Linked DNA regions of Callithrix jacchus. The protein of the gene in region 1 interacts with the protein of each later gene in a biochemical or structural test. Links are inferred from orthologs where the notes say so. Each region holds a gene or a part of one and is shown on either strand. Other genes may lie near its edges.

What was found.
Region 2: of the proteins of RANGAP1 (region 1) and USPL1, one has a biochemical effect on the other in vitro, tested with the Homo sapiens proteins (2 studies listed by BioGRID). The link is inferred for Callithrix jacchus from reciprocal best matches to the Homo sapiens genes RANGAP1 and USPL1.
Region 3: the proteins of RANGAP1 (region 1) and RANBP2 form a complex in vitro, tested with the Homo sapiens proteins (5 studies listed by BioGRID and IntAct, with this or other methods). The link is inferred for Callithrix jacchus from reciprocal best matches to the Homo sapiens genes RANGAP1 and RANBP2.

The regions. Positions count from the first base shown.
Region 1 is NC_133502.1:192,059,526-192,070,214, forward strand, and holds part of RANGAP1 (ran GTPase-activating protein 1), read right to left. Parts: intron 5,406-10,689; coding exon 5,247-5,405; intron 4,170-5,246; coding exon 4,056-4,169; intron 3,656-4,055; coding exon 3,556-3,655; intron 3,470-3,555; coding exon 3,385-3,469; intron 2,181-3,384; coding exon 1,997-2,180; intron 1,244-1,996; coding exon 1,124-1,243; intron 1-1,123. UniProt on the Homo sapiens protein: GTPase activator for RAN. Converts cytoplasmic GTP-bound RAN to GDP-bound RAN, which is essential for RAN-mediated nuclear import and export. Mediates dissociation of cargo from nuclear export complexes containing XPO1, RAN and RANBP2 after nuclear export.
Region 2 is NC_133506.1:149,856,935-149,867,623, reverse strand, and holds part of USPL1 (SUMO-specific isopeptidase USPL1), read right to left. Parts: intron 5,854-10,689; coding exon 5,696-5,853; intron 751-5,695; coding exon 1-750. UniProt on the Homo sapiens protein: SUMO-specific isopeptidase involved in protein desumoylation. Specifically binds SUMO proteins with a higher affinity for SUMO2 and SUMO3 which it cleaves more efficiently. Also able to process full-length SUMO proteins to their mature forms.
Region 3 is NC_133515.1:20,387,387-20,398,548, forward strand, and holds the start of RANBP2 (E3 SUMO-protein ligase RanBP2), read right to left. Parts: upstream 6,561-11,162; 5' UTR 6,472-6,560; coding exon 6,400-6,471; intron 1-6,399. UniProt on the Homo sapiens protein: E3 SUMO-protein ligase which facilitates SUMO1 and SUMO2 conjugation by UBE2I. Involved in transport factor (Ran-GTP, karyopherin)-mediated protein import via the F-G repeat-containing domain which acts as a docking site for substrates.

The DNA.
Region 1 (10,689 bases):
CTACTAAAAATACAAAAATTAGCTGGGCGTGGTGGTGTGCACTTGTAATCTCAGCTACTCAGGAGGCTGAGGAAGCAGAATCGCTTGAACCATAAGGCGGAGAATGCAGTGAGCCGAGATTGCGCCACTGCACTTCAGTCTGGGCGACAGAGGGAGACTCTGTCTCAAAAGAAAAAAGAATACAGAAAAAATGTAACAAAGCAATCAGACAAAATGTTAAGCTAATTCTGAGAATGGGCACATTTTATTTCTCTATAACCTCTGAGCCTCCACTTTCTCATCTATAAAATAAGAGCAGCAGAGGTTACATTTCAAGGTGCCAAGAGGGTTAAATAAAATCATGCCCAAGGCCGGGCACGGTGGCTCAAGCCTGTAATCCCAGCACTTTGGGAGGCTGAGGCAGTTGGATCACCTGAGGTCAGGAGTTTGAGACCAGATGGGCCAGCATGATGAAACCCCATGTCTACTAAAAATACAAAAAAAATTTAGGTGGGCATGGTGGCAGGTGCCTGTAATCCCAGCTACTCGAGAGCCTGAGGCAGGAGAAAGTGATTCTCCTTGAACCCGGGAGCTGAGATCGCGCCACTGCACTCTAGCCTGGGGACAAGAGGGAGACTTTGTCTCAAAAAAAGAAAAAATATAATGCCCAGATATAGTAACTGACAGAAAACAGATACCCCAGTGATCATCTCTGAGTAAGCCAACCAACAAGTGAAGCTGGAGTGAGGGCGGCCATCCTGTAACAGGCAGGTCACTTCCAAAGGGGCCCTGGGCAATAGGCTAGTTCTCGAAGCAGCTGGGCTGACAGAACATGCAGCAAGAAGCCAAGGAGTGGGTGTGGTGTGCACCCGCAACAGTCTTGAGGAAATTTACGAGCCCCAGTCGGCACTGGGAACTGGTGGGCTGCACTTTCTGTAGGTGGAGTGGGGAGGGAAGATCTACAACCCCCAGAGGCTTATAAATACACTGGACATTTGCACGTGTCATAACAGTGGCAGGCCAAGCCTCCCTGCCCGCAGCCGACAGCGTCACACCCCCAAGTCCCTGAGTTGTTCGTCCCTTTTCTCTAGCAGCTCCAGAAGCCACGGCACGTATAGCATGGGGGTCGAGGTGTAGTTGTTACCTGCTGGGCTATCAGCACAGAGCTCTTGGGCCCCAGGCGCAGCAGCTTCTCTGGAGATGGAAAAGCCAGGAAGGTAGAGACATCTGTAGGAGGTGGCGAGGACAGCACGGGAGCTGGCTCCTAGGAAGTGGAGGCACGAAGGCTCTATAGAATTCCAGGCCCCAGACTTCCCAACACAGCTGTGCCCATCCCCACACCCAGCACATCCACCCCTCACTCTAGCCCATCTAGGCGCGAAGTCTAGAATTCTTCCTCCCTTCCCACCTATCAACATCACCCAGAGATGCTGGCCCTGGCTGGCTCTTGGTCCAGGAGCCTTTGGGGTCAGGGGGAAGCCACCTACCTAGGACTCAAAAAATCTGCTACAGCCAAGTAGATTCTCGTCATAATATGCAGTACCCGAGAAATGACTAAAGAGATACATGGGGTCTAAAGTAGGTCCCTGTAGAACTACAGTCCACACTGGGTAAGCCCTGCTAAGGTAGCCAGAGAAAAACCTGAACTGGGGCGTACCTATTAGCCAGGTGTGGTGGTGGACACCTATAATCCCAGCTACTTAGGAGGCCAAGGCAGGAGCATCGCTTGAACCCAGGAGGCAGAGGTTGTAAATGTGAGCCGAGATCACACCACTGCACTCCAGCCTCAGTGACAAGAGAGACTCTGCCCCCCCACCCCCCGAAAAAAAAGAAAAAGAAAGAAATATAGGTAACTATCATTACACTGGGACCATTTTCAAGTCAGTATAATGTAATCAAAAAAAAAATGTTTGTGGCTACTATGCTTAGGGAGACACCCCTACCCCACTGTGAAGACGCCTCAGGCTTTCACCTTCTCAGGACCAGGGCTCTGATCATGGCAACGACAGAAACTCACCCCAGTGTTAGGGTCCAGACTCTTCCGTGAGGGCGTGGCTGACTTCTCTCCCTGCACTTGATGCTGAGGCTCTTCCTCTTCCTCCTCCTCTTCTTCTTCCTCCTCTTCCTCATCTTCCTCCTCCTCCTCTTCTGCTTCTTCTTCTTCCTCTTCTCCTTCCTCCTCATCCTCATCCTCGTCATCACTGCAGACAGAGCTGGCTGAAGCATATCCTCTCTACCCAGCAGCCCAGGTTGGCTCCAAGGCCTGGCTCCATCAGCCCAGAGACCTCACCTCAGCCAGGTGGGAGGGAGCCTAGGTGGGGTGGGAGCACCTGCTCCCAGGACAGGGGCAGGTGGATCACCAGGGAAATCCATGCTATGGACACAAAAGAATCAGACCTTGTCCCTGTCCTCAAGGAGCCCCAGGGGAGACAAAAAACAAAGACATTTGTTTTTATTTGTCATACCCAGAGCCCAGGGCTTGGCAGGAACATTCCCCAGGTTGAGATGCCAGGGCAGGGGTACCTACATCCACATGACCTCAGGAAGTTACAGGTATGAGGGAGGAAGAAGAGTAGGGGTGTCCTTGCCCCACAGGAAGGCTAGTCCATTTCCCAGGGACCATTGGACCTGTGAGGTTCAGCCCACCTCCAAGTCCCCAGTTCCCAGCCTCAGCTCAGGGCCTAGCACGGAGGAGACACAACTGAGTATCTGACCCACAAACAAGGCTGACTTGGGGATGAGAGGGGCACAGGGAGCCAGGTGCTGATGGCCCAACTGGACTTGGATCCAGAGGCAGTGGCAGCTCCCCCACCGCACCTTCGCCTCCAGGTGGACTCCCCAGGCCTTAGAATCTCTTCCTTTCTAGAGTCAGTATCTTAAGAACAATCCTGAACGCAGCCCCTTCTGGCAGCCCCCACCTCCCACTCCCATCACTGCCCAGGCCCCACCACATCAGGATGAGATCTGGCCTCAACCCTTCAGAGGCCTCCCGATTCCCCTCGCTCTAGAGGGTGGCTCTACTCAGCCCGTATGAGCTCCTCTTTTGAATGCACAACTCATTCTATCTCTTCTCCATGAGCCAGAAACCCTGACTGTCCCACCCTTATAGACCTGATGCCTAGTGTATAACCCGGCACATAATAGGAGTGCAACCAACCTTTCTGAATAAATACAAGTAGAAACAAATAAAGGGGCATGGTGGTGGTTGCCTATAATCCCAGCTACTTGGGAGGCTGAGGCAGGAGAATCGCTTGAACCTGGGAGATGGAGGTTGCAGTGAGTAGAAATCGTGCCACTGCACTCCAGCCTGGGCAACAGGGCAAGACTCTATCTCAAGGAAAAAAAAAAAGAAACAAAGGAATGGCCTAACCCTGACCTCTGGGGCCACCCACCCTAGTTCCCTACCTGAGGGACGCCAGCACTTTGGCCATATTGAAGCCGTCCAGGACCTCCTGGAGCTGCTCACAGCCTTCTTCTCCCAGGGTGTTGCCTGCTCAAGGGGAGGGAAGAGCAGTCAGCCCGGGGTGCCAGGGCCAGCCTGCCAGACCTGTGCAGAGGACTCCCCCATCCGACTACCGTTCAGGTCCAGCTTCTCCAACTCAGCTTTGTCTGCCATGGCCTCAGCAACAGCCAGGGCAGCGTCCCTCTTGATTTCACAGAATGACAAGTTCAGCTCCTGAAAATAAGAGGAAGGGTTGGAGGGAGGCAGAAACCTGGGCCAGGACACCATGTCCCACTCTAAGCCTCAGTTTCCCCAAGTGAGGATATGGCATATTCTGTCCTCCAGTGCTGTTTCCCAAGGCATAGTGGGCAGGAAGAATAACCCTGCAGCCAACGATGTGCCACACAGTGTGTGTTTACTCAACTATACCACAGTGATGCACACCACCCCCTGCCCACTTTATAAATGAAAAACCATGGCTCTGAGGGGTGTGGAGCTCACACAGCATCACAGGGCATGAAGTGGAGGAGCTGGGATATGGACGCAGGCCCACTTAGCTTCAGACCAGACCCCTGCACCCCCAGTCACCCACCACCCACAGACCCCAGGAGGACGTCAGGGTCTAGGTTGGCACCTTTAGCTTGGGCAGGCCACCACGGATGGCATCTGCAATGGCAACGGCACCCTTGGAGCGCACTAGGCAGTCCCCAAAATTGATCACCTCTACCTGCCGCAAGGTCTTCAAGGTCTGCGAGGGGGAAGTAAGGGTACAGAGAATGAGGGTGCAGGCCACACTCCAGCCCTCAGAAAGCACCATGGTGGCCCCACACAGTCACTTCCCACACCAGCCACCACACACTGTCCTCCTCCCCAAGTCGCCAGCTTTGCCGTCTTCTCCTTGTTGGCCTCTGGGTCCCCCCTTGACCTCACTCCCCATGTTACGGCCACAACTCTTCCTGAGACCAGTCCTGCCCAAGTCTCCAGGCCTTCCACACATAAGCTAATCCCTCTGCCTGAAACATCCACCTCCCACCTTCTGTCCGGAGAAAGACCACTTGTACTGTACCTTAGCCAAAATGTGATCTCTTCCAGGAAGCCTGACCTAAGTCTGATTTGAACTTCCTTCTGACGTGTTCCCAACACCTGCACACATCTCTGCTAACACATAAGCAGCCAGACTAGCCTTCTGTGGGGCCACAGGGTCCTGGCAGCCAAGTATCCACTGCGTTCAGGACCCAGCATTGTCCCCGCCAGCACCTCCCTCCCCTCCTTGAGCTAGGATCTCCTTGAAGGAGGGTCTTTGGCTCAACCCTGTGTGGCTTGCACTTGCTTGGTACAAAGCCAAGCACTAAATGGGGGCTCAAAAAACAGCTGCTGGGTCAGGCACAGTGGCATGCGCTTATAATCCCAGGCTACTCAGAAGGCTGAGGTGGGAGGATCACTTGAGCCCAGAGTTCAAGACCAGCCTGGCCATCTCAAAAAGTGGCAATAAAGAACAAAACAAACAACAGCTGCTGAACAAATCAACGAGGAAAATAGAGGTGGGAAGCAGCCCGCTCCTGTGCAGCCTGAGAACAAAACCAGCGCCAGCCGCTGGGGGCCACAGAGGCAGCTCAGGAGGAAGGCGGCATGAACACTCAGAGCTGCATGGGTTACTCGTGACCAGCAACCCTGTTCAGGGACCCATGGGTTCAACGAGCTGGACCCATGGGGCATACACCCAGGGGACAGAGCAGTCCCTGCTACACAGCCCCAGCTTTCCTGCAAAGGCAGCAGCAGCCTCTGTCTGGTGAGGCCCAACCTGGCTCTGCCACACTTGCCTCACCTCGGCCATGGCCACAGCGCCCTTCTCAGTGAAGGTGTTGTCGTTCAGGTTGATGACCCGCAGCAGAGGGTTGACAGCAAAAGCCTGGGCCAGGGCAGTGACACCAGGGTGGTTGATCCCATTCTGTGGCATGTGGACCTCCTCCAGGGTCCCAATGACCTGTGAAGAGGAGACAGAGCGTGGAGGCCCCAGTGCCAGGTAACATCCAGCAGGCCCAGGAACAGGCTGCCACCAGCACGGCAGGGGCTCATCTGTGGGATTCTGGGGCATGGCTGCATCTGACTTTCCTCAACCTCCTGAGGGAGGCCTACTACCTGGGATAGGATCCCACAAAAGAAGAGACTAGGGATCAAAGAGGTGCAGTGACTTGCCCAGGGTCACACAGCTCTAGATCCAGCAGGTTGATTTCTTGTTTTCACTCTGGGGTCCTCTGCATGGCAGGGATCCTGGTTCTGGTAGGCAGGCACTCATGGCCCTTCTTGGGATGACACAGCTCCATGTGACCTTTTTTTCTTGGGGCCCTCCTACCCTACCCACCTACACAACATAACGCCTTCGACATGCCGTGTCCTTCTCTGGGGATGGGAAGGTCTTCCCTGGCCCATGCTGCCCTATCTCATCCTGGCCTTTTGATACACATTCTCTCCATGTGGAACACTCTATCTCCTTATTTGACAGCATTTTTTCTTACTTTTTTTGAGACAGAGTCTCACTCTGTCACCCAGACTGGAGTGCGGTGGCACAAAGTCTCACTCTGTCACCCAGAATGGAGTGCGGTGGCACAAAGTCTCACTCTGTCACCCAGACTGGAGTGCGGTGGCACCATCTCAGCTCACCACAACCTCCGCCTTCCAGGTTCAAGTGATTCTCCTGCCTCAGCCTCCCGAGTAGCTGGGATTACAGGCACATGCCACCACACCTGACTAGTTTTGTATTTTTAGTAGAAATGGGGTTTCGCCATGTTGGTCAGGCTGGTCTTGAACTCCTGACCTCAGGTGACCCAGCTTCCTCAGCCTCCCAAAGTGCTGGGATTATAGGCGTGAGCCACCACGCCTAGTCAATCAGCATTTTCTTTCTTTCTTTTTTTTTTTTTTGCAACTGTATATTTCAGGAAAGCATTTTCTTGACAAGCTAACTCACCGGCATTCTATGGCTCTTGTTTCGGTCACCTTCTCCCACAGGAAGGCTTCCTCGATTCCCCCAGCCAGGGTCCAGTGCTTTTCCTCTGTGCCTCCGAAGCACCTGTTCCCTCCTCTATCACAGTGGTCCTCACCCTGCCTACATTCAAAGTGTATATTCCTGTCTGCACCCCATTGCCCCCTGAGCTTTGGAGGAGAGGGCCATGTCCGAGTCTCCACCGTGACCCAGGACTGAAGACAGACTTGGCATAACTGTGCCAAGGCACCTTCTGCTGTCCTCCAGTGCTCACTGCTGCATGGGGTAAGCAAGGGAGCGGGTGGTTCACAAATACAGAAAGACCAACTGAGGCACATTCCAGGTCAGGCCTTCTGAATATTTTCTGTGCTCTGAACCTTTCAGGCAGTCTGGTGAGACCCCTGGGCCCACTCCTCACAAAATGTTTTTTTTTTAGTTTTAAGAAAAATTATAGAGAACTACAAAGGAAATCAACTCAATTGGAACAGTTATTAAACATTTAGGAAAAAACTCCAAATGCATTCTGTAGTAATATACGAACTTCTTGTTAATGCACTAAATAACAAGGTCTAGGGGTGGGTCCACTATTACTGCAATTTTGATGTAGTGAGAAATATTTCTATATATCAGCAAAAACTTAACTTGAGATGAAATATCTATGATTTCTATTACGGACAGAGTCAAAATATTTTCTTTTCTTTTCTTTTTTTTTTTTTAATTGAGACAGAGTTTTGCTCTTGTTATCCAGGCTGGAGTGCAATGGCGCGATCTCGGCTCACTGCAACCTCCGCCTCCTGGGTTCAGGCAATTCTCCTGCCTCAGCCTCCTCAGTAGCTGGGATTACAGGCACACACCACCATGCCCAGCTAATTTTTTGTATTTTTAGTAGAGACGGGGTTTTATCATGTTGGCCGACCATGCCCGGCCAATATTTTCTTTCTATTTATTTAAAAAATTATTTGGCCGGGTGAGGTGGCTCACACCTGTAATCCCAGCACTTTGGGAGGCCGAGGTGGGTGGATCACGAGGTCAAGACATCGAAACCATCCTGGCCAACATGGTAAAACCCCGTCTCTACTAAAAATACAAAAAATTAGCCGGGTGTGATGGCACATGCCTGTAATCCCAGCTACTCGGGAGGCTGAGACAGGAGAATCGCTTGAACCCAGGAGGTGGAGGTTGTGGTGAGCCAAGAATGCACCACTGCATTCCAGCCTGGGCAACAAGAGTGAAACTCCGTCTCAAAAAAAAAAAAAAAAAAAAAATTTAGACTGGGTACAGTGGCTCATGCAGGCAATTCCAGCACTTTAGGAGGCCAAGGTGGGTGGACTGCCTGAGATCAGGAGTTTGAGACCAGCCTGGCTAACACAGTGAAACCCTGTCTCTACTAAAATACAAAAAATAGTTGGATGGGTATGGTGGCGTGTGCCTGTTGTCCCAACTAATCGAGAGGCTGAGGTGGGAGAATCACGTGAGCCTGGGAAGCTGAAGCTGCAGTGGGCTGAGACTGCACTCCAGCCTGGGCAACAAAGTGAGGCTCTGTCTCAATAAATTAAATTAAAATTTATTTTAATAAATTAAAATTTTTTTTTTAATTCAAGGGCCACATGGGCTCATGTATTATGTGGGTAGTCACAAGCCTTTCTAATGCTGTAAAATTTCTTGTCTACATTCATAATCAAAAGCCACACTATACATTTTAGCTACACTAGGGATAAATAATGATGCTATTTTTTTCTCATCCATGTTCACAGACCCCTGAATTCTATCCACAGACTGGAGGAGATTAAGAACCCCCATTCTGGCTGGGTGCAGTGGCTCATGCCTGTAATCCCAGCATTTTGGGAGGCCACGGTGGGCAGATCACAAGGTCAGGAGATTGAGGGCTGATTGAGACCATCCTGGCTAACATGATGGAACCCCGTCTCTACCAAAAATGCAAAAAATTGGCCGGGCACAGTGGCTCACGCCTGTAACCCCAACACTTTGGGAGGCTGAGGCAGGTGGATCGCTTGAGGTCGGGAGTTCAAGACCAGTTTGACCAACATGGAGAAACCCTGTATCTACTACTAAAAATACAAAATTATCCGGGCATGCTGGCACATGCCTGTAATCCCAGCTACTCAGGAGGCTGAGGCAGGAGAATCGCCTGAACCAGGGAGGTAGAGGTTATGGTGAGCCGAAATCGCACCATGCACTCCAGCCTGGGCAAGAAGAGTGAAACTCTGTCTCAAAAAAAAAAAAAAAACATACAAAAAGTTAGCTGGACATGGTGGTGGGTGCCTGTAGTCCCAGCTACTTGGAAGGCTGAGGCAGGAGAATCACTTGAGCCAGGGAAGCAGAGGTTGCAGTGAGCCGAGATTGTGCTACTGCTCTCCAGCCTGGGTGACAGAGCAAGACTCCGTCTAAGAAAAAACAACCCATTTTAAGCCCACCAGAGGACACCTTATGAAGGCTCAGCACAACCACAGCATCGCCCCCATTCCCAGTGCACAGAGGACAGCAAGCTGAGGGCAGGGAGGGATCCAAGGATGGCAACAAGGCCCCTCCAGCTCTTGAGGAGGCAGCAGGAGCTCCCCTGCAGCCAGGGGTGCAGGGAGATACGAGGCAGATCTCTGTGCTATCCACTTGGCACTGAAGTAGGCAAGGAGTGTCTACAGACAAACTCTGTGGGCAGGCAGGAGAGGGTGCCCATTCAGCCCAGTATGAGCAATGCTCCTAGGATACTGTTTGTTGAAAAAAAACATTTAAATTCAGAGAAGAGTGGCTGGGCACAGTGGCTCACACCTATAATCCCAGCACTTTGGGAAGCCCAAGCAGAAGACCACTTGAAGTCAGGAGTTCGAGACCACCTGTCCAATGTGGTAAAACCCTGTCTCTAACAAAAATACAAAAATTAGGCCAGATGCAATGTCTCATGCCTGTAATCCCAGCACTTCGGGAGGCTGAGGCAGGTGGATAATGAGGTCAGGAGATCAAGACTATCCTGGCCAACACAGTGAAACCCCAACTATACCAAAATACAAAAACCTAGCCAGGCATGGTAGCACACGCCTATAGTCCCAGCAACTTGGGAGGCTGAGGCAGGAGAATCTCTTGAACTCGGGAAGCAGAGGTTGCAGTGAGCTGAAATCATGCCACTGCAGACTAGCCTGGCGACAGAGCCACACTCCATCTAAAAAAAAAAAAAAACACAACCAAAAATTAGCCAGGTGTGGTGATGGGCGCCTGTAATTCTATAATTACAGCTACTTGGGAGGCTGAAGCAGGAGAATTGCTTGAACCTGGGAGGCAGATGTTGCAGTGAGCCAAGATTGTGCCACTACACTCCAGCAGGGGTGACACAGTGAGACTCTGTCCCAGAAAAACAAAAAAGAGAAGAGGGAGACAGACCCCAAAGTTTTCAGTTCTGTCATGGGCAAGTGTGACCTTCTTCTGGCACTCATGGTTGGAGACTCAACAATGTCCTAGGGAGCTGGGGAGAGGAGGAGGGGGGAGACGAGGAGAATGGAAGAGGAGCAGGGACAAGGTAACCCAAGAGCACTTCATCTGGCACCTAAGCCCTGTGGCTGCCCCTGCCTGTCTCCCTGTCTTAGGAAGTCTAGTAAGTTCTTTCTCTGTGCCCCACACCAGGGGCTGGGAGCACTCATCACTCATGTCACCTTGCTCCACCACTTTTTTTTTTTCCCCGAGACAGTTTTACTCTGTCGCCAGGCTGGAATGCAGTGGCGAGATCTCGGCTCACCACAACCTCTGACTCCGATTCGAGCCATTCTCCTGCCTCAGCCACCTGAGTAGCAGAGATTACGTGCCACCATGCCCAGCTAATTTTTGTATTTTTGTTTTGAGACAGAGTCTTGCTCTGTCACCCAGGCTGGAATGCAGTGGCGCAATCTTGGCTCACTGCAACCTCCACCTCCTGGGTTCAAGCAATTTTCCTGCCTCTGCCTTCCGAGTAGCTAGGACTACAGGCGCCCACCATCATGCCTGGCTAATTTTTGTATTTTTAGTAGGGGTTTCACCATGTTGGCCAGGATGGTCTTGATCTCTTGACCTTGTGATCCACCCGCCTTGGCCTCCTGAGGTATTGGGATTGCAGGCGTCAGCCACCGCGCCTGGCATCTTGCTCCACCAATTCTGGGCCTGGCAGATGACACTCCCTGGTCAGAGTGGCCTGAAGCCTCACAAGGGGCTGCTGCTGGCTCACCTTTGGGAGCAACCACACATCTTTCCAGAAATGCATGACAGGAATCCTGGCCCATTTTCGAATGGGCTAACAGGCTTGAAG
Region 2 (10,689 bases), on another chromosome or scaffold:
CTGGTTTTAATTGCTCAGTTTTTGGTGTAAGGAATTGTTTTAACTGAGCATCCCTCTCAGTTTCTACTGCCTTCACTCCCTGTATAAGACCAGTAGCATGAGTGTTATTCGCAAATTTAGTATTTACAGCACCTTCTGTATTCAGCTGTACTGGCTGCATGTTGGTGTTTACAACTTGAGATGGAAAACTTATGCTCACAAATTGGTCCTGGATCAGCTTTTCTTTCAATGGAGCTGATACTGAAGAAGCCATTAGTGATTCTTGTGATTGCAAAGTACTTTTTTTGAGAATTCCTGTATTTTCAGCTACAAGTTTATTTTCTAACAGGAAAGCTTCAGAATTTAACCGTGAAACTGAGGCTGTTTTCTGGGTAGTTTCTTCAAGTATCAAAGGTAAAATATTGTCAACCAAACCTTTTGAACCTGAAAGGAAGTGATCTCCATGAGTTACAGCTGAGTCCTGTGAAAGAGTATGATGGGCAACTGATGTAACTTTAGGGTGAGTTACTGAGGCTGTTTCAGCTGAGGCCGCATCACCCACAGAACAGGACATTGAAGATACTGATTTCTCATTACCGACAGCGTGCTGGTCATTAGTCTTTCTAAGTGGAAGGCAGGCGGCTTCTTTATCTGTCACTTGGGATGTTTTTCTTTCCCAAATAACAATATGTATCTCTGAAGCAGGCACTTCAAATTTCTTGTGCCTTTCAGAACATGGGCCTTTTAAATCATCACATTCCAGCCAACTTCCTGGAGGAGGGAAAAGAAGTGAAAGATAGATATGAAAAAATCACCACCCTAGGTTAACTTTCTTCTTGCCTTTTCAACTGTTCTATCATTGAATACCCACCAAAGGAGAAGACTCTAAAACATGGTCTTGGCTGGACACGGTGGCTCACGCCTGTAATCCTAGCACTTGGGAGGCCGAGGTGGGTGGATCACCTGAGTTCAGGAGTTCAAGACCAGCCTGGCCATCATGGTGAAACCCCATCTTTAAAATAAATAAATAAACAGATAAATAAAATAAAACAACAACAACATGGTCTTGACCTTGTCACCATCATCTGCCATGTTAAAGTCCTTAGACAGAGTATATTTAACTTTTGGAATTTAGAATTTGGTTATCACCTAATTTATCCAATAACATCAGAAAACAGAATGTTTTATATATATAAATTTTCATGATAAACGAAGCTTGTTACCTGAAGGATCAATATTCATTTGAATTCTTGTTTTATTTCTGACCTTGCATTTTCACATTTGTCAAGAGACAATGAGATGATAGATGACAAGAGTTGAAAAATGAGGATGCACTGCCAAATACTGAAATATTAACACACAACTTGGGAAAAGTCCGTTACTTATAGCAGTGTGGTTGCTGGCAGTTACTTTTGCCTTCACAATTTCAGTGGTGCAGTAGTGACAGGGGCCCTTATGTAGTCAGCTACAGCATGAATGAAGAATAAGAAGGTAACCTGTTTAAACCATTCCTTAAATAAAAAAAGACACCCATTAGGATAGATATTATTTAAAAAATAGAAAATAGCAAATGTTGGCAAAAATGTGGAGAAACTGGAATCCTTGTGTAATGCTGGTGGGAATGTAAAATGGTACAACTGCTGTGTAAACAGTCTGGCAGTTCGTCCAAAAGTTAACACAGAATTACCATTGAGACCCAGCAATTCCACTTGTAGGTATACACCAAAAAGAATGAAAAGCAGGGACTTTCAGTTCCTTGTCCACCAATGTTCAGAGCAGCATTATTCACAATAGCCAAATGTCCATCACAGATAAATGGATAACACATACACTACTACTCAGCCTTAGAAAGGAATGACATTCTGCAATGTGCCACAACACAAATGAATCTTGAAAATGTGCTGAGTGAAATAAGCCAGACACAAAAGGACAAATAATGTATGATTTCACTTCTATAAGGTATCTATAATAGACAGATTCACAGAGACAGAAAGGAGAATAGTGGTTACCAGGGGTTTGGGATGGGAGGATGCGGAGGTATTTTTCAATGAGTAGAGTTTCTGTTTGGCTTGATGAAAAAGTTCTGGTGCTGACGGTGGTTGCATAGCATTGTAAATGTATTCAATGCCAATGAATTGTACACTTACAAATGTTACAGTGGTAAATCTTAAGTTATATATGTTTTACCACTACAACAAAAAAATATAAAAAGTACAGCTGAGAAGTAAAGAAAGGTGGCTAGGTGCTAATAGGCGGTGTGAGGTTAAGGGAAGGTATCTTTCTTTCTTTTTTTTTTTTCTGAGACAGAGTTTCACTCTGTCACCCAGGCTGGAGTGCAGTGCTGCAATCATGGCTCACTGCAACCTCCGCCTCCTAGGCTGGAGCAATCTCCTGTCTCAGCCTCCCGAGTAGCTGGGATTATAGGTGTGTGCCATCACACCCAGCTGATTTTTGTATTTTTAGTAGAGATGGGGTTTCACCATGTTGGCTAGGCTGGTCTTGAACTCCTGAACTCAGGTGATCCACCCACCTCGGCCTCCCAGAGTGCTGGGATTACAGGCATCAGCCATCGTGCCTAGCCAAGAGAAGGTATATTTCTCTACATTTTACTTACTACTACATGATAATTTGAAAAAAGCTAACCACAGGCTTAGATAACAACCTTTCTTAATAAATAATCAACAAATATCTGTACTTTCATTAGAGACTTAGCAAAACAATCCACATTTCACTATATAATCAATATCTACACACATCTATGAAACAGAAAATCAATACAAAAAGCATAATGTCATGGTAATTGTGGCACAGCAAATACGTAGCTTACTCTATTTCTTTTTTTGTCTTTTTTTTTTTCCTTTTTGTGGAGAACGGGGTCTCGCTATATTGCCCAGGCAGGTCTCGAACTCCTGGGCTCAAGCTATCCTCCCACCCCTGCCTCCCGAAACCAAATGTAATAAATTAATATATCATGATGTCAAACACCATCATACTTACTACAAAACATTTCCTATTCCTTGGATTATAATAGATCATGATGTCAAACACCATCATACTTACTACAAAACATTTCCTATTCCTTGGATTATAATAGTGAGCACCCAAAGCACTGTCTTTTTCCTAAGGAGTATATTATTTCAGAAAACATTGTTTTAGCAGTAGAGAAGTGACCAACATAGTGGTTGTCATTTTATGTTGCAAAACATGTTCACAGATACTTAATCTTAAATATTTACAGTGTGCTCAGTTTCTTTTCCTTGTCCATATGCATCTATTCGTTTTTGAAGAAAGATTTCTAAGAGCACACATAGAGAAAACTCATTTGATTTCCAGGTGTTGTGGCTCATGCCCGTAATCCAACACTTTAGGAGGCCAAGTAGGCAGATCACGAGGTCAGGAGGTCGAGACTATCCTGATCAACATGGTGGAACCCTGTCTCTACTAAAGATACAAAAATGAGGTGGGCGTGGTGGCACATGCCAGCAATCCCAGCTCCATGGGAGGCTGAATCAGAAAAATCACTTGATCCAGGGAGTCAGAGGTCGTGGTGAGCTGAGATTGCTCCACTGCACTCTAGCCTGGCAACACAGTGAGACTCTGTCTCAAAAAAAAGAAAACTCATTTGACACATCTACCATAGTCACTTTTTCATGCTGAGAAAGACCATATCTTAAGATTATAAGAGAAAATAAGTACTTGCCACCAGGCTTCAAAGGCTTCCTATAAAGAACTAATCTTGAGGCCGGGCACAGTGGCTCACGCCTGTAATCCCGATACTTTGGGAGGCTGAGGCGGGCGGATCATAAGGTTGGGAGTTTCAGAACAACCTGACCAACATGGTAAAACCCTGTCTCTACTAAAACTACAAAAATTAGCCTGGTGTGGTGGCACATGCCTGTAATTCCAGCTACTTGGGAGGCTGAGGCAGGACAATCCCCTGAATCTGGGAGGCAGAGGTTGCAGTGAGCTGAGATTGTGCCATTGCACTCCAGCCTGGGCAACGGAGCGAGACTCTGTCTAAAAAAAAAAAAAGAACTAATTTTGAGGAATGCAAAGATTAAGAAAGGAAAAACAGATCTTTCCTTACACATTCCCCAAAGGGAAAAAGCTAAAGACCAAATTAAAATATTTAATAAAATATAAGATCTGATACAAAAAAAAGTAAACCAAGAACATAAGTCACATAACAGACATAAATTCTGGTTAAGTTTCAAAAGGGAAAACAAAATATGCTCAGAGATCTGCTAAATCCCCACATACACACAAAACAAAACTGTTCATTAAGCATGTGGTTAATGTGGCTACACCCTTACCTACTACCTGAACCTGCTATTTCCCATTAAATAGAAAACTTTATGTATCTTTTGTTTGCCTGTGTCAGTGGTTCTCTACCACATGACCCACTCTGGAATCATCTGGGAAGCTTTTAAAACAATGTTAAAATAGTATTGCCATAGCATGTGCCTTAGTCTCAGCTACTCAGGAGGCTGAGGCAGGAGAATCATTTGAGCCCAGGAGTCTCACAACAGCCTGGGCAACATAGTGAGACCTTGTCTCAAAAAGAAAGATGAAAGAAGGAGAGAAGGAAAGAAAGAGAGAGAGAGAAAGTGAGAAAAAGTAAAGGAGGAAGGGAGGGAGGGAGGGAGGGAGGGAGGAGGGAGGAGGGAGGCAGGCTAGCAGGCAGGCAGGCAGGAAGGAAGGAAGGCCGGTCAAAAACCAATACCAAAAACACCCAATATTGACATTTGGGCCTAATCACCAAGGGTGGTCTAGGGTACAACTTGGAAATGTTTAGAAGCTAACCAAATGATTCTTATATGCTGTCAGGGTTAGGAACCATGCTGAACTTGAAGTGTATTGATCAATCTTTGAAATGCAAAAAAAAGTTAAAATAAGTTGGTTCATATTGTGAAGAACTACTTCCTCTCAAATCTGAAAGAGGGTAAAACCTTAAGGTAATAATTACATTTATAATATAAGTTAGAGTTTGTAAAATGCTTTTATAATACAGTATTGTGTCATCCATTCAAACCATCCCCAGGAGGAAAATAGCAAGTGTGAAGGAGTGTCTCACTTGCTATATGGTTATATCAAAGTGAGCCCTTATCAATGGCCTGATACAACCCTTTAAGGACATTGAGTTATCTTGTCTAAGACAAAGTGCACATTATGAGAAAAACAAATTCAGTATTACACTACATCAGACAAACAGAAGGCAAAAATTCCCCAAATCCATGAACTGTGCTTACTTAGCTTTCTATTAAGAAGTTCAATTACTTAAATAAAGACTTTATCTTGATAGTAGCTGTTAGCAATCTATGTATTTCACAATTACAGAAGGGCTATATAAGTCTAATGTGTAATAACAGTCTTAGAAAACTATGTCTAAAAAATAAAAGCAAAGATGTTAAGTAGGAAGAAAACTGTAAGCAAATAGTAGTATGCAATCTCATTCTTTGTCTAAAAAAGAAATACACCCATGCACCTGTGTTTACCCAAAATACATGATGTAAGGAAAGAAAGAAATTAGGAAGGATACTAAAACCACCATTTTTAATAGGTGCAAGGAGCAGAAGGCCAAGGTGAGAATGGAGAGAGAAACAGCCAGGGCAAAGTTTGTCTTTTTTTAAAAAAAAAAACAGAAAGTCCCCCCCCACACACACACGAGTTTCGTTTTCATGCCAACTGTCTTAAAAGGAAACCTCTAAACACTTACCATCATCTTCTAAAATCCATGTTATAAAATGATTATTTGCTTGATACTGAATTACAGAAGTTATTTGGTAAAGACAGCCTTCAAAGTGAAATGCATAGTGCTGCAAGTCCTTCTGTGGTAAGCCTTCTACAAAGTGCAACATGAATATGGGAGATACTCTGTGGGAGAGAAAGGCAAAAGACGTTAAACAAATGTAATGCCGTGTGTCTGGTTATACAAAAGATGACTGAGGTGAACTAGTCATACATGGCACTTTCAAGGCTAACCGCACGGACTGCTCTAGAGCACCTCCAGATGTGTGCCTTCATCAGAAATGGAGAACTGTGAGAAGCATGTGGCGCTAAACCCTTTTCAGAATGGCATCCAGACAGTTGGAAGTCATCATGCAGTCAGACTCTAACAGACCATTAAACAAAAACTGCTCTGTAAGCTGCTTTGGCTTAAAGATCTCATGGCAGCTACTTTGTAAAACCTAAGGAAAAAAATCCAGACCTTTTAGAATTTTCTTTGGCATCAAGTGCTCGGATTAATTGCTTTTGCTGAGTGGGGTAGGTAATATGTGAAAGAAAGCAACAAACCTAAGATATTCAAAATAAGCATTAATTTGGCCTGTTTCAGTCATTTCAGGAAGCAGAGGGGTCTGTCAAATTAAAAGTTCTACTTAGGAAAAGTCCAACTTGTAACTAAGTAGAGACAAAATACAATACATTGGTCAATTTATTATCAACTTCAAGACAACTGTAATTTCAAAAATATATTTTACCATTACAGCAACATGCTGAACCAGAAAATAGAGCCCAATGGGTCTAAAATAACTAAATTTAACAAAGCTCTCAGGATGTAAGAAAAATGTTGACTACCCCTTTTCCCAATATTTAAACAGCTGTCAAAACTTACTTTATCAAAATTGATTCAGCCCAAATGAACTTGAATCCATGTCCAAATTGCAGATTACTCAGACGGACAAGGGATAATTTATAAGTTAATCTTTGTCAGTCATTTTGTTAGACAATAATCAAGTCCTGCAAACTTTCTACATCACTAAACTCTTTCCCACTTTAAAAATCACACCTACTTCATCAAACCTAAGATTTCAGATGATAACATATGCCAGTATGAAAACATGCTGCCAATGAAACTCGATCATGCCATCAATTTCAGGTATTTCCATTTCAGACAGGTTAAAATGTGAACTGTATGTCTGAATCAATGATCCACAGTAAAACTTGAGATGTATTCTCACAGTGGGGTATGTAGGCTTTAGGCACCTGACTTTTTTTTTTTTTGAGATGGACTCTTAGCTCTGTTGCCCAGGTTTGAGTGCAGTGGCGCCATCTCAGCTTACTGCAATCTCCACTTCCTGGGTTCAAGGCTCCGGAGTAGCTGGACTACAGGTGCATGCCACCATGCCCGGCTAATTTTTGTATTTTTAGTAGAGACAGGGTTTCACCATGTGAGCTAGGTTGGTCTCAAACTCCTGATCTCAAGTGATCTACCTGCCTTGGCCTCCCAAAGTGCTGGAATTACAGGCATGAGCCACCAATACCCAGCCTGACTCTTTAATTACTAACATTTAGTCCCTTGACTTTATATAATACCTTTCAATATACCTTCTAAGGCTAGTTACTAAAAAACCTCTTGATCTCTAGACTATGAAATCTCACTAGTTTCCTGCTTTTACATGAGCTTACACATGGAAAATGTTTTAAGACATATTAACGTGATAAATAACGCATGTAAAACCACCTGACATACTTTTATGATTTTCGTACATTACAAATCTTCTATTCTTTTGCAAATTAATAAAAGTAAAAACTGCCAAAACCAAAATCCACACTCAGCCCAATTCCCTGGATGTAGAAGATACTCAGATGCCAGCTGAGTACAAGCACATTCCCCTAGGTAGTAAGAAATGACTTGTCAGAAACCTCCAAAGTCTGCTATGAGATTCAATAGAAATTTGATTTTCTCAACCATCAAAAAAAGAGACAACAATTGGAGCAATTATACGTTAAGTTTTAAAATATTCTCTTAATTACACTGGCCTATCAGATCAACCAGTACACCAAAGCTGTCCAGGACCTGATGTGGCGTGAAATGATGTAGAACAGAGCCATAATGTAGAGTTTTACAATCATGTCAAAAATCTCAATGTGTCCTCCATACTCCTTTCTATAACTATGAAACTTTTTAAGTCCCAAATGCCCAATGAATTCCAGTTTTTTTCCTATACGTTAACATCTCTCATCTCTGAAGTTGGGATACATATTATCATTGATGGCACACAGTTAAATAGGCAGCATTTCTTTTTTGCTTTTCTTTTCTTTTTTTGAGACAATCTCGCTCTGTTGCCCAGGCTGAAGTGCAGTGGAACAATCTTGGCTCACTGCAACCTTTCCCTCCCCGATTCAAGCAATACTCCTATGTATCAGCCTCCTGGGTAGCTGGGACTACAGGCATGTGCCACCATACCAGGCTAATTTTTGTATTTTAGTAGAGATGGAGTTTCGCCATGTTGACCAGAATGATCTCAAACTCCTAGCCTCAGGTAATTTGCCCACCTCGGCCTCTGAAAGTGCTGGGACTACAGGCATGAACCACCATGCCCGGCCAGCATTTCTTTCTTAATGGCATATTTTTTAAATGGTGCAACTTACAAATAGTAGCATCTTGGAGTCAATCAAATAATATGCTTCCCCTTCCTTTTTCTGTTCCTCTTTGATTCCCCTAGACTCTAGTGTCCTACGTACAATTCCAGTGTGTCTCATTTCCAGCCTCTCGGTTGAGGGTAGAACTTTAACCCTAGGTTTTGTTCTCAGACTTCTTCCTACCCACAATGCCTGAAGTGTCAGTGAAGGATGATGCTCAGAGCTAAGGAGACCAAGTTAGGTTCTCCCTCAACCACTGGAAAACTGGATGAAAGGAATTAAGCAAATTGGAACCAAGAGTGAACAGGAGATTTCAAGCTAAGACCTATTTGCATTCATGTAACATGGGGTTAATATCCTCTTATTTAAAAATCTACCCTTAGGAAAAGAGTAGAAAAGAGAGAAAGAAAGCACAAGGAAACTGTGTTAACCTCTGCTACCCAAAGAGAGCAGAGAAACATTGTGTCCCTGTCCCACAAGGCATACTTAGCCTTGCACTCAAAGAGATTGTGGCAGTAACCTTTCAAGAGTTTGTGAAGTAAAATGAAATCTGATTCTAAGTTCTTGGTGCTCCATGTCACCGTGCTCTGAATGTAACTCCTAAACAACTTATTTAAATAAAAGTAGCAGATTTGGGCTGGGCACAGTGCCTCATGCCTGTAATCCCAGACCTTTGGGAGGCCAATGAGGGCAGATCATGAGGTCAAGAGATCAAGACCATCCTGGCCAACACGGTGAAACCCTGTCTCTACTCAAAATACAAAAATTAGCGGGGCATGGTGGCACGTGCTACTCAGGAGGCTGAGGCAGGAGAATCGTTTGAACCTGGCTGGTGGAGTTTGCAGTGAGCTGAGATTGCACCACTTGCACTCCAGCCTGGCAAGAGAGCAAGACTCTGTCTTAAAAAAAAAAAAAAAAAGTAAAGTAGCAGATTTGGGTCCACTAGGCATAATTCATCTGAATTTATCTATGAACTCTTTTCCAATGGGGAGATATAAGAGATGTGGGTTGAGACAAGGTTTCCAAGGAACTTAATGAGTTTTTAGAATGCTGTATGGTCTTAATTACATATGATACATGATGAACCCAATTACTTTTAGGATATCCCTAAAAACTATATTAAATTTATTTCTAAATTCCATAGACACAAACAAATCAAGTTATACAAATTTCAAAATAATAAAAACACAAAGGACTTAGACCTTGTTATTTAAAATTTAAGTGAAATTTCATACACTTAGTTCAATTTACTTTTGAAGAATACAGGAAATATCCATATTATAAATTCTGCTCATAAATTAGCCCACTGGAACTCAAAACACATTTTCCATTAAAAGGCTGTTTTACCTAATGGACCCATTTCCAAATCAGCACATGAATCTTTAAGGTAAGCAACTTATTCATACAGTTAAAAAATATATATACTACAGTGCAACCAATTAACAGTTTAAACAAAACAATGGTACGACTCTATGTTCACTGCTGGGGCATGGGAAAAAGCAGGTATGAACAGCTAGATGAAATCATATACACCAAGCAGCCTAAAGCAGGTCCATGGTCCAGAGCAGGATGGCCAACTCCATGCTCTGCTGCTCTTTTCCTCACCTCATCATCAACACTTACATCTCAAAACTGACACATGGCAGCCAAGATAGATTACACACTTCCGTAATCTTCAGACAGATCAGACACCTCTTCTTCCTTCCCACTTTGCCCTCCTACACAAATGCTATCAAATAATAGTAAAGGGCAAAAAAGATGCGAGTCCAAAAGGACAAAGAAAGGGAAATAAGCAAACAAGGAGTCAATTAATATTTAGAGGACAGAAAGCAAACAGAGAGGTGGCACCTTACCCAACAGAATGGACAAAGTGAAGACTAAGTGCTGTGGAATGCATGTGCTGATGAGAAAGAAGAGCTTATTTCTCCCAGAGAACCCTTCAAAGTGTGGATATTTACAGCCACAGATGTGGCAGAATGTGGGGATGAGGCCTTGGGCTAAAAACTAGGATGGTGACTCAAAGTGTGTACATAAAAAAGCACACCCTATGCTCTAGGCCCAGAGAGGACCCAGCACAGGCTGCAGCAAAGAGTGCAAAGTGCCAGGAAAGTGTTCCCAGGAAAAAAGGGGCGGGGAATGAGTAAAAAACTGTGAAGCATCTGAGTATTATAAATGTTATTAGTTAAGTGTTTAAAATATTTGGCAAAAACTCACAGTACATAGTAAAACAAATGAAAACAAGACAAATAATTCCAGGAAAAATAAAGAACTGTAAAAGTGAAACCTAACTATGTATAGTACTTGGCTGAAGAGGGACTAACATACGTATGTTAATAACAATGCAAA
Region 3 (11,162 bases), on another chromosome or scaffold:
AAGTCACCAAATTGTACAATTAAAAACGGTTAAAATGGCAAACCGTTATATATTATTCTTCCACAATATAAAATTAATGTAATACACAAAAATCAATTAATTGTACACTTTAAATGGATTAGTTGTATGGTACGCAAATTGTATCTCAATGAAGTTGTTTTTGTTGGTTTTTTTTTGTTGTTTTTTTTTTTGTTTTTCCCCAGATAGAGTCTTGCTCTGTCACCAGGCTGGAGTGCAGTGGTGCAATCTGGGCTCACGGTAACCTCTGCCTCCCGGGTTCAAAGGATTCCCCTGCCTCAGCCTCTGGGGCAGCTGGGACTATAGGCAAGCACCACCAGACCCGGCTAGTTTTTTGTATTTTAGTAGAGACAGGGTTTCACCATGTTGGCCAGGATGGTCTTAATCCCCTGACCTCGTGATCTGCCCGCCTTGGCCTCCCAAAGTGCTGGAATTACAGGCGTGAGCCACCACACCTGGCCAATGAAGTTTTTTTTTTTTAAACTAACTTTTTATTTTTTTTTTTTTGAGGTGGAGTTTCGCTCTTGTTACCCAGGCTGGAGTGCAATGGCGCAATCTCGGCTCACCGCAACCTCCGCCTCCTGGGTTCAGGCAATTCTCCTGCCTCAGCCTCCTGAGTAGCTGGGATTACAGGCACGTGCCACCATGCCCAGCTAATTTTTTGTATTTTTAGTAGAGACGGGGTTTCACCATGTTGACCAGGATGGTCTCGATCTCTTGACCTCGTGATCCACCTGCTTCGGACTCCCAAAGTGCTGGGATTACAGGCGTGAGCCACCGCACCCAGTCAGTTCCTCCTTTTTAAAATAAAGAAACAGATTCTTAAAAGGTACAACAGCAAAACCAAATAGAAAAATAACTCCATTACCTTCTTTGCTTCCAACTATCTTATTAGACAACCTTAAGATAATTAAACAACTATATAAATTATTCTTCTATATGATATTTTGCCTCTTACCTGCTAATTTTACAAGGGAAAGGAAGTTCAAGCAGGTAAATGCCTTGTTTAAAGATCTACAGCTAAGAAGAAGCAGAGCCCATGTTACGTAAACAGGACAATACTTGATTCAAGCAGTACTTCTTTCAATGACAGCAGATGTCCTAATAACCAAATACCTGAAATCTCTTAAGCTGCTAAATATCAAGAACTGATGTGGGGCTGAAAACAGAAACAGTTAGACCCTAAGAGACGCCACATTACCTCTATCTTGCACAGTCAACTGAATCCCCCTCCCACTAAAATCCTCCAAAAAAGCTGCTATTCTCAACAAATCCATCTGATCAGCTCCAAATCTGTGGAGTCCCAACAAGGGTGAAGGCAGTGATTACACAGGATAATAAGGAAAAGTCTAGATATTAAACCATGAGTTCCCCAGTCCCCTTCCCCTAGAACATAAAGGTAAAAAAATCTCTCAAAAAAACCGAACAAACAAAAGAAGAGGAAAAGAAAGAGAAAAATTAGAGAACCAAATGAGAAACTCCAACTTTCAGGTAAATATCAGGAAAAAAAAAAAAAAGAAAGGGTCAAAGAAATAATACAAGAAATGTTATAGAACTGAAAGAAATGAGTTTTCCAATTGAAAGGACACTTCCAGAAAATCTTTAGTTACCAAGAACAAGAATGTCATCAGACTTCTAACAACAGAACTTCTAGAAAATGGAACAGTGCTCTCAAAATTGAGAAAAAAATTATTTCAAACTCAGAATTTGATAACCAATCTATCAACCAAACTAAGTAAAGATGTTTTTTGCAGGCATACCATTATTTTCCAAAACCAGCCTGGCCAACATATTGAAACCCCATTTCTACTAAAAATACAAAAAATTAGCCAGGCATGGTGGCAGACACCTGTAATTCCAGCTACTCGGGAGGGTGAGGCAAGAGAATCACCTGAACCCAGGAGGCAGAGGTTGCAGTGAGCCAAGACTGTGCCGCTGCACTCCAGCCTGGGCAACAGAGTGAGACTCCGTCTCAAAATATACATACATAAATGAATGAATGAATGAATGAATGAATGAATGAATGGATGGATGAATGTTTTAAGCTGAAATTGATGGCATTATGTGACCAGTTTGACCACATTTGAGGGTTTAAATTGGTGAGTTTAAGTAAACAAGCAGTAACACAACATAAGCAAACCAAAAACTAAAGCAATTATTCAGTCCAGGAAAAACAAAACTGCACAATAAGGGCAATTCAAATACAAAAATATTTACCTTATGGTATTTACATAAATGTTAAATATTCATTTTAACAAAAACTGCAATAACAGTACTGAAAGAATAAGGGGCGAACCAAAGTGTCTAAGGACAGTTTTGGAGGAGCACAGTAAAAAGCCAGTAGAAACTGTCTAAAATGGTAGACAGGGAATTAAAAATAACAAAAATATGTATGTGTGTGACTCAGAAGCATGAAGTATAGATATCAAGGGCAGAAAAAAAAGCTAAGAGCTGTCAAAGGTGCCTGCCTGTAGACCCAAGTATTCAGGAAACAGAGGTAGGACGATCACTAAGCCCAAAAAATAAATAAATAAATAAATAGCCTCTGGGGAGTAGGAATCAGTTGCAGAATGAGAAGCTAACCTGACAGAACCTGGAAAAACTAAACAGAAACCATCTGGAAAAAGAAAAACTAGAGAAAGAAGTTTTTTTTCCCCAGACAAGTCTCACTCTGTCACACAGGCTGAAGTTCAAGTGCTGTGGCACATTTCCACTCACTGCAACCTCCACCTCCAGGGTTCAAGCAATCCTCCTGTCTCAGCCTCCCGAGTAGCTGGGACTGCAGGTGCATGTCACTACGCCTGGCTAATTTTTGTATTTTTAGTAGAGACGGGATTTCACCATATTGATCAGGCTGGTCTCGAACTCCGGACCTCAGGTGATCTACCCACCTCAGCCTCCCAAAGTGCTCAGATTACAGGCAAAAAGTATTTTTAACAAGGGCAAAAGCATATGTGAGGGAGTAGAAAAATGGCAAAACAAAGAGGAGATGAAATGAAAGGACAATGGAAGACCAGAAAGATATGATATACAGACACATCAACACTTCAGAACGAAGACATCCTAGAAAGCATAGTCAGTTCACAGATAGCCAGCCTCTGCCAAACTGGGGGAGAATACTAACCTCTTTATAGTCTTCCCAGCCACTGCCTCTTCCCACTCCATTCTTTACCTTCTATCCAAAGCACCCTGTTTCATCATTTCACTCGAACCTAACTTTATGGAATAGCTTCACATGTTGAAAAGTTACTCACTAGCTAATCCATATTCCACTAAAATCCATTTCAATTTGTTTGGGAAAAAAAATACTCTTTAAGTGTAAGAGAGAGCTGGTCATAGTAACTAATTCCCAAAATTCTGTCACCACTCCACTTTAATGGAAAAGTTAATGTAGTTGAAAGAACACTCTAACTTCTGTTTAAACCAGTGGTTTTTAATCTTTTGGAAGTCAACGTCCCCACTAAGAATCTCGGAAAGGTTCTAAGCTTGCTTTTTTATTTTTTAAGCTTGCATTAAAAAAAATCAGAGTGGGCAAAGTGTCTCACACCTGTAATCCCAGCATTTTGTGAGGCCAAGGCAGGCAGATCACAAGATCAGGAATTCAAGACCAGCCTGACCAACACGGTGAAACCCCATCTCTACTAAAAATAACAAAAATCAGTTGGGCATGGTGGTGTGCACCTGTAATCCCAGCTACTCGGGAAGCAGAGGCTGGAGAACTGCTTGAAATCAGGAAGCGGAGGTTGCAGCGAGCGAAGATCACACCACTGCACTCCAGCCTGGCCAACAGAGCGAGACTCCATCTCAAAAAAAAAAGAAAAAAGTTAGCCAGGCATGGTTGCACATGCCTGTAGCTGACATGCCTGTAGTCTCAGCTACCTGGGAGGCTAATGTGGGAGGATGGACAGAGCCCAGGAGGTCAATCCTGCAGTGAGTCATGATCCCGCCACAGCACTCCAGCCTGGGAGACAAAAAAAGACCTTGTCTCAAAATAATAATAATTATTATTATTATTAATGCCCTGTGCAGTGGCTCACGCCTGTAATCCCAACACTTTGGGAGGTGGAAGCAGGGGAATCATGTGAGCCCTGGAGTTCAAGAACAGCCTGGGCAACATGGTGAAACCCAGTTTCTACCAAAAATGCAAAAAATAAATAAATAGCAGGTGTCATGGGTGCACTTGTGGTACCAACTACTCAGGAGACTGAGGTAGAAGGATGGCTTGAGTTCGGGAGGCGGACATTGCAGTAAGCCGAGATAGCACCACTGCATCCAGCAAATGACAAGAGATCGATCCCATCTCAAAAAAAAAAAAATAACGTAAAAATTAAAGTGTAATTTCAGGAGTTACAGGTACCCTCAATAAGGTCTGTTTTAGACTCTATCACTATGTCCACATTTATGACTATGCTAGCAGTTTGAAATTACAATGTACAAGTAGGAATAGATAGTCCTCTTCTCTGGAGGAATAGACTGTAACTTACTTCAGTGTTCCCAGGACCCAATGCCAAAATTCTGCTGCGCTACCTATTTGACCCTGAACAAGTATCTTTAATCTCCACAGTTCTCAATATCCACAGGGTTCAAGTATCTTTAATCTCTACAGGTCTCAATTTCCACAGGGTTGCTGAAGTGCAAAATAAGGTAATCTATGCTTAGTTATTATAAAAGACACAACTGTGCTACTATAATAATCAGGATCACCCAGGGCTTTCCATTACGTTTGTTTAACGGAGTCTCCCTCCGCCTCGATTCTCCTGCCTCAGCCTCCTGAGTAGATCGGACTACAGGCGTGCACCACGCCTGACTAATTTTATTTTTAGTCGAGACAGAGTTGGGACCACCATGTTAGCCAGGCTGGTCCCAAACTCCTGACCTCAGGCAATCCGCCGGTAGGCCTCCCAAAGTGCTGGGATTACAAGCATACGCCACCGGGCCCGCCCGCAAGCCGTTCTTTTTTAAAAAAAACTTCCTTACAGATCTTTATTCTCCTAGGCCCTTGCACAGTAGAGACTTTGAATAAATATCCTTTTATTTATTTACTTTTTGAGATGGAGTTTCGCTCTTGCGCCCAGGCCAGAGTGCAAAGGCCAGATCTCAGCTACTGCAACCCCCGCCTCCTGGGTTCAAGAGATTCTCCTGCCTCAGCCTCCTAACTGGGATTACAAGCGTGTATCACTACACCCGGCTAATTTTGTATTTTTAGTAGAGACGGGGTTTCACCATGTCAGCCAGGCTGGTCTCGAACTCCTAACCTTAGGTGATCTGCCTGCCTCGGCCTCCCAAAGTGGTGGGATTACAGATGTGAGCCACCACGCCCCGCTAAATCCTTTCGACATCAACAATAAAAATAGTGACTTGCAGCTAACATTTTAATACTATGTGTCCAGCACACACAACCCTAAATGTTTAAAATGGATCACCCTATCAAATTCTATCAGTTACAACTCCATCTATGGATGAATAGTGTAACCTGTACCAAATATCCAACTTACAAAAGACAGCGCTGTGGTTATTCATCAAGCCAAAGCAAACTGACTCAAGATTCTGTGCACATTCACCTTTAAATAGCTTCTTCCATCACTCTTTACATCCAAATACTAAAGTCTTACTGAATCCAAAAGATATCATATTATTTACCTTTAAAAAGGAAAAATACCCTAAGAACATCTGTGGAAAAAGTTAAAAATTCTAAGGCATAAATTTGCAAGAAATCTAGAATTTTTTTTTTTTTTTTAAACAAAACACAAAAGCAGCTACCGAAGTGTTCTGGGTTCGGGGGACAGGGGTGAGTATGAAGAGTGGAGCTAGACCCTTATAAAGGGACAGCGACAAACACCTCAGCCTTAAAGCAAGGGGACTTCCCGTATCATTTGCGCTGTCGAGCCGTGGCAAATGTCTGCGTTGAGATGTCACCCGTCAGAGTCGCCAAAGCTCACCCCGGAGCTGCGTCAGTCCTCACTGGGTTCCACCAGGCCAAGGAGGTACGACCTCCGCCGCAGCATGTAAAGTAAATGTCCGGGAGATGGAAAGAACCCCGCCGGATACAGCATCCGAGACTTTGGTGCCCAAGCCCCAGAGAACTAGGCCGCGCCGGTCCCAGCGGTGCGCGACCGGCCAGAAAGCCAGGGCCAGGGTGGGCCCACGAGCGAGGACCGTCCGGAACAGGCCGGAAGAAAGAGGAAGCGCCGGCCCGCCGCGGCCCAGCCAGGACTCCTCTGCACTCGCCAGCGCCACGCCGCCCACAGGGCCGCGCTGGCCGGCCAGCGCCTCAAGAGAGCGCGCCACGGAGCAGTGCTTGTCAGGAGCCATGACGCCCGAGCCGCGGGAGGCCGCAGCCGGGCCAGGTCGAGACAGTAGGTTTCTTCGAGACCCACTCACCTCTCGAGGCGACGGGGCAGAGCCCTGGACCGAGGCGATGTACCGCTCCACGTCGGCCTTGCTGCGCCTCATCGCGCCGCCAAGCTGGCTTCCGAGGCGCGGGAGTCAAACACTCAACCCCGCAACGGTCGCCAGTTCCAAGAGCAAAGCGCCTTCAAGCCAGTGACGCAGTGCCGTCGCCGGCGGAGGACCAGTCTAACGCACTTGCGTATGCGTCAGCACTGTGCGCCACGTTGGCGACGTCGGCGCTCGCGCCGCACATAGCGGAGCTCCTGGCAACTTCCTGGTCGCGGAGCCTGGTCTTGGGTAGCCGGCGCCAGCGTCCATCACGCTAAGGTAGTAGGTTTCCAACAGATAAAAGTTTGCGTGCTGAGCTCTTAAGCCTTTTGGTTGCTTGTTTTAAATTATAAATGCTCTATGCATTGGAAGAAAAAAGCACTGCGGCCGATTTTGTGAGCTTGTAAAGTGGAACAACGTTTCTGGAGATGACTGGTTAAATACGTTGCGTTGGACATGTGTGTGAATACGAAGCATACATTTTTAAATTAATACCTTTTAAAAGAAATAATAAATTTTAAAGTGCATATATGAAAAAGTAGACCACAAATACTAAATTTTGAACAATTACAGTTTTTTAAACACATCCGTCGGCAGAGGATTGGTTCCGGAACCACCTGCTTATACCAAAATCCACGCATTCTTCCGGGCGCTGTGGCTCAAGCCTGTAAGCCCAGCACTTTGGGAGGCCTAGGCGGGCGGATCACCTGAGGTCGGGAGTTCGCGACCAGCCTAGCCAATATGGCGAAACACCGTCTCTACTAAAAATAAAAAATAAAAAAAATTTGGCGGGCGCCTGCAATCCCGTTATTCGGGAGGCTGAGGCAGGAGAATGGCTTGAACCCGAAAGGCAGAGGTTGCAGTGAGCCGAGATCACACCATTGCACTCCGGCCTGGGCAATAAGAACGAAACTCTGTCTCAAAAAATAAAAAATACAAAAAATTACCTGGGTGTAGTGGCGGGCGCCTGTAATCCCAGCTACACCGGAGGCTGAGGCAGGAGAATCGCCTGAACGTGGGAGGCGGAAGTTGCAGTGAGCTGAGATTGCGCCACTGCACTCCAGCCTGGGCGAGAGTAAAACTTCATCTAAAAACAAAACAAAAATCCGCGCATTCTCAAATCCCGCACTCGGTCCTGCAGAACTCTTAGAGAGGGTACTCTCTAAACGCGGGCCTCTCGAATACTGTATTTTAAGTCGGCTTATAAGTGGACCCAGGCAGTTCAAACCATGTTATTTAAGGATCAACTGTGTCTATAGTAATAGCCATTTGCCCGGCACAGTGGCTCAAACCTGTAGCCCCAGCACTTTGGGAGGCTCGAGGCCAAGAGTTCCAGTTTACAATTAACTATGATAGCGCCACTGCATTCCATCATGGGCACCAGAGTTTGACCCTTGTCTCAAAAAAAAAAAAAAAGGAATAGTCCACCAGATCTATATATATTTCACTAGCAGAATAACAGGAGATACCAAAATTTAACAGTAATAATATCAAGATGTTGAGCCATCAGTATTTAACAAATCTTCAAAAATGTCTTATTTTGGGAATTTGGATGTTAAAATCTTACTTTTAAAACAAGACTTGGCCTGGCACAGTGGCTCACGCCTGTAATCCCAGCACTTTGGGAGGCCGAGGAGGGCGGATCCCGAGGTCAAGATCAAGACCATCCTGGCCAACATGGTGAAACCCCATCTTTACTAAATATACAAAAATTAGCTGGGTGTAGTGGCGTACACCTGTAGTCCCAGATACTCAGGAAGCTGAAGTAGGAGAATCGCTTGAACTCGGGTGGCAGGGATTGCAGTGAGCTGAGATCACCTCACTGCACTCCAGCCTGGTAACAGAGCAAGACTCTTTTTTTTTTTTTTTTTTTTTTGAGACAAAGACTTAACAAAAGGTTTTTAATAGTGAGAATCTTTTAGATTTTAAAAGCATTTGTTTAAACAGTATAGCCTTAATTACATGGGCAAATATAAAATACACTGACATTTTTAACTGGAAATTTGGGCAGTTTTGTTTGTGGATAATTTTTTATCCTTTCCATATTTTCTAAATTTTATATAATGAACAAATATTGCCTTTCTAAAAAAGAAAAAACAGCATTTCCTTTTGTTTTATTTCAACCATATTGGATGTGAATAAAAGAAAATAAAAAGATAATTCTGAGTTTACCCATGTGTGTGACCCACATTAACAGAAATGACACGTAAAGAAAAACAAGTTTGGAGTGGCATATCCTATTTTAGGTAGTTGATTTCTTTCACTTGAGGTGCCATTTATAGATCTATGTGGAGATAGTCTAGTAAGAAGATGAAATGGTAGGACAAAGATCCTGATGGAAGCCAGAAGTCTCAGCACCGTTCTGAGGCCCAACTACTCCAAAGGCAGAGGAAAAAATCGCTTTAGCCCAGGAGTTGCACACTGCAATTAGTTATGTTCATGCCTTTGCATCCCACCTCTAGAAAAGAATGAGATTCTTGTCTCTAAAACAAAAAGAGGACCAGGTGCAGTGGCTCATGCCTGTAATCCTAGCACTTGGGAGGCCCAGTTGGGCAGATTACTTGAGGCCAGGAGTTCAAGACCAGCCTGGCCAACATGGTGAAACCCCATCTCTACTAAAAATGCAAAAATTAGCTGGGCATGGTGGCACACAGCTGTAATCCCAGCTTGGATGGCTGACGCACCAGAATTGCTTGCACCTAGGAGGTAGAGGTTGCAGTGAGCTGATATCGTGCCAGTGCACTCCAGCATGGGCAGCAGAGCAGACTCTGTCTCAAAAAATAATAATATTTCCTTAATTATTTTTTAAAAAGAGAGAGAAGATGGACTTCGAAGTCATAAACCTCAGGTGATAGGTGTAACCACGAGTTTGCCTTGAAAAATGTGTTGATAACAATAGCCATAGCTAACAAATACTTGCTGTTTTCCAAAGCGCTTTTTTTTTTAGCACTTCACTTGTATTAACTAACTTCATTCTCCCACAACTTTGTAAGGGTACTGTTATTATCCTCAGTTTTACAGATTAGGAAACCAAAAGACAGACAGCCACCAGGGCTCATACCTATAATCTCAACACTTTGGAAGGCCAAGGTGGGAGGATTGCTTGAGCCTAGTAGTTCAAGACCAGCTCGGCAACATAGCAACACCATGTCCTTACAAAAAAAAAAAAAATTAAATTAGTAAGACATGGTGATGCATGCCAGTAATCCCAGCTATTTGGGAGACTGAAACAGGAGGATCTCTTGAGGCCAGGTGTTGAAGACTACAGTGAGCTATGATCAGTCCACTGCTCTCCTGCTTAGATGACAAAGACCCTGCCTCAAAAAAAAAAAAAAAAAAAAAAAGGAAAACGAGAATGAGCACTGAAGCAACTTGCCCAAACACACTCACCTAGTAAAAATGGTATCATTAATCCATTTACGTTGAATATATTGAAAAGGAGTGCCCAAAGAGAAAAATCTTTTTTTTTTTTTTTTTTTGAGGTGGAGGTTTTTTTTTTTTGTGGCCCAGGTTGGACTGCAGCGGCACAATCTCCTCTCATTGCAACCTCTGCCTCCCAGGTTCAAGCAATTCTTGTGCCTCAGCCTCCTGAGGAGCTGGGATTACAGGCACATGCCACCACACCCAGCTAATTTTTGTATTTTTTAGTAGAGACGGGGTTTCACCATGTTGGACAGGCTGGTCTTGAACTCCTGGCCTCAAGTGATCTGTCTGCCTCAGCCTCCCAAAGTACTGGGATACAGGCGTGAACCACCACGCCCAGCATTCAAAGAGAGAACCTTTTTGAGGAACTCAAAAGACTGCTCTTTTGGACAAGCATTTGTAGGGATTTTCACATTTTCCTTCATTTTACACTACATTTTTTTGTTTGTTAAGTAGTATAACATTTTCACCAAGGCAATGACAATTTCATTTGCATCAGTGTCGAATATCATATTCCTACCATGTTGCAAATACAGTTCATTTGTCCAGCTTAATTGAGGTATAATTCACAAATAAAAGTTGTATATAGCCGGGAGCGGTGGCTCACACCTGTAATCCCAGCACTTTGGGAGGCCGAGGCGGGTGGATCACGAGGTCAAGAGATCGAGACCATCCTGGTCAACATGGTGAAACCCCGTCTCTACTAAAAATACAAAAAATTAGCTGGGCATGGTGGCGCGTGCCTGTAGTCCCAGCTACTCAGGAGGCTGAGGCGGGAGAATTGCCTGAACCCAGGAGGTGGAGGTTGCGGTGAGCCAAGATCGCGCCATTGCACTCCAGCCTGGGTAACAAGAGTGAAACTCCATCTCAAAAAAAAAAAAAAGTTATATCTGTTTACTAGGTACAACATGATGTTTTTCTATGCAAGCATATCTTATTTTATTGCACTACACTTTATTGTACTTCGCAGATACTATGTTTTTTACAAATTGAAAGTCTGTGGCCACCCTGTGTCAAGCAAATCTTTCGGTATCATTTTTCTTTTTTGAGACAGAGTCTCATTCTGTCACCCAGGCTAGAGTACTGTGGCACCATCACAGCTCACTGCAACCTCTGATAGCAGGCCAGGTCTCACTAATGCAGATCTCCATATTGAAACAACTGTTTCAATAATGACTGAGCGGTTACATATTAAAACCCAGTGCCCTTATACAAAGGCTGGGATGTAACAAAAGCCCATCAAGAGTTTTACCTAGGTCTTTCCAAGGCACGATCTTGGCTCA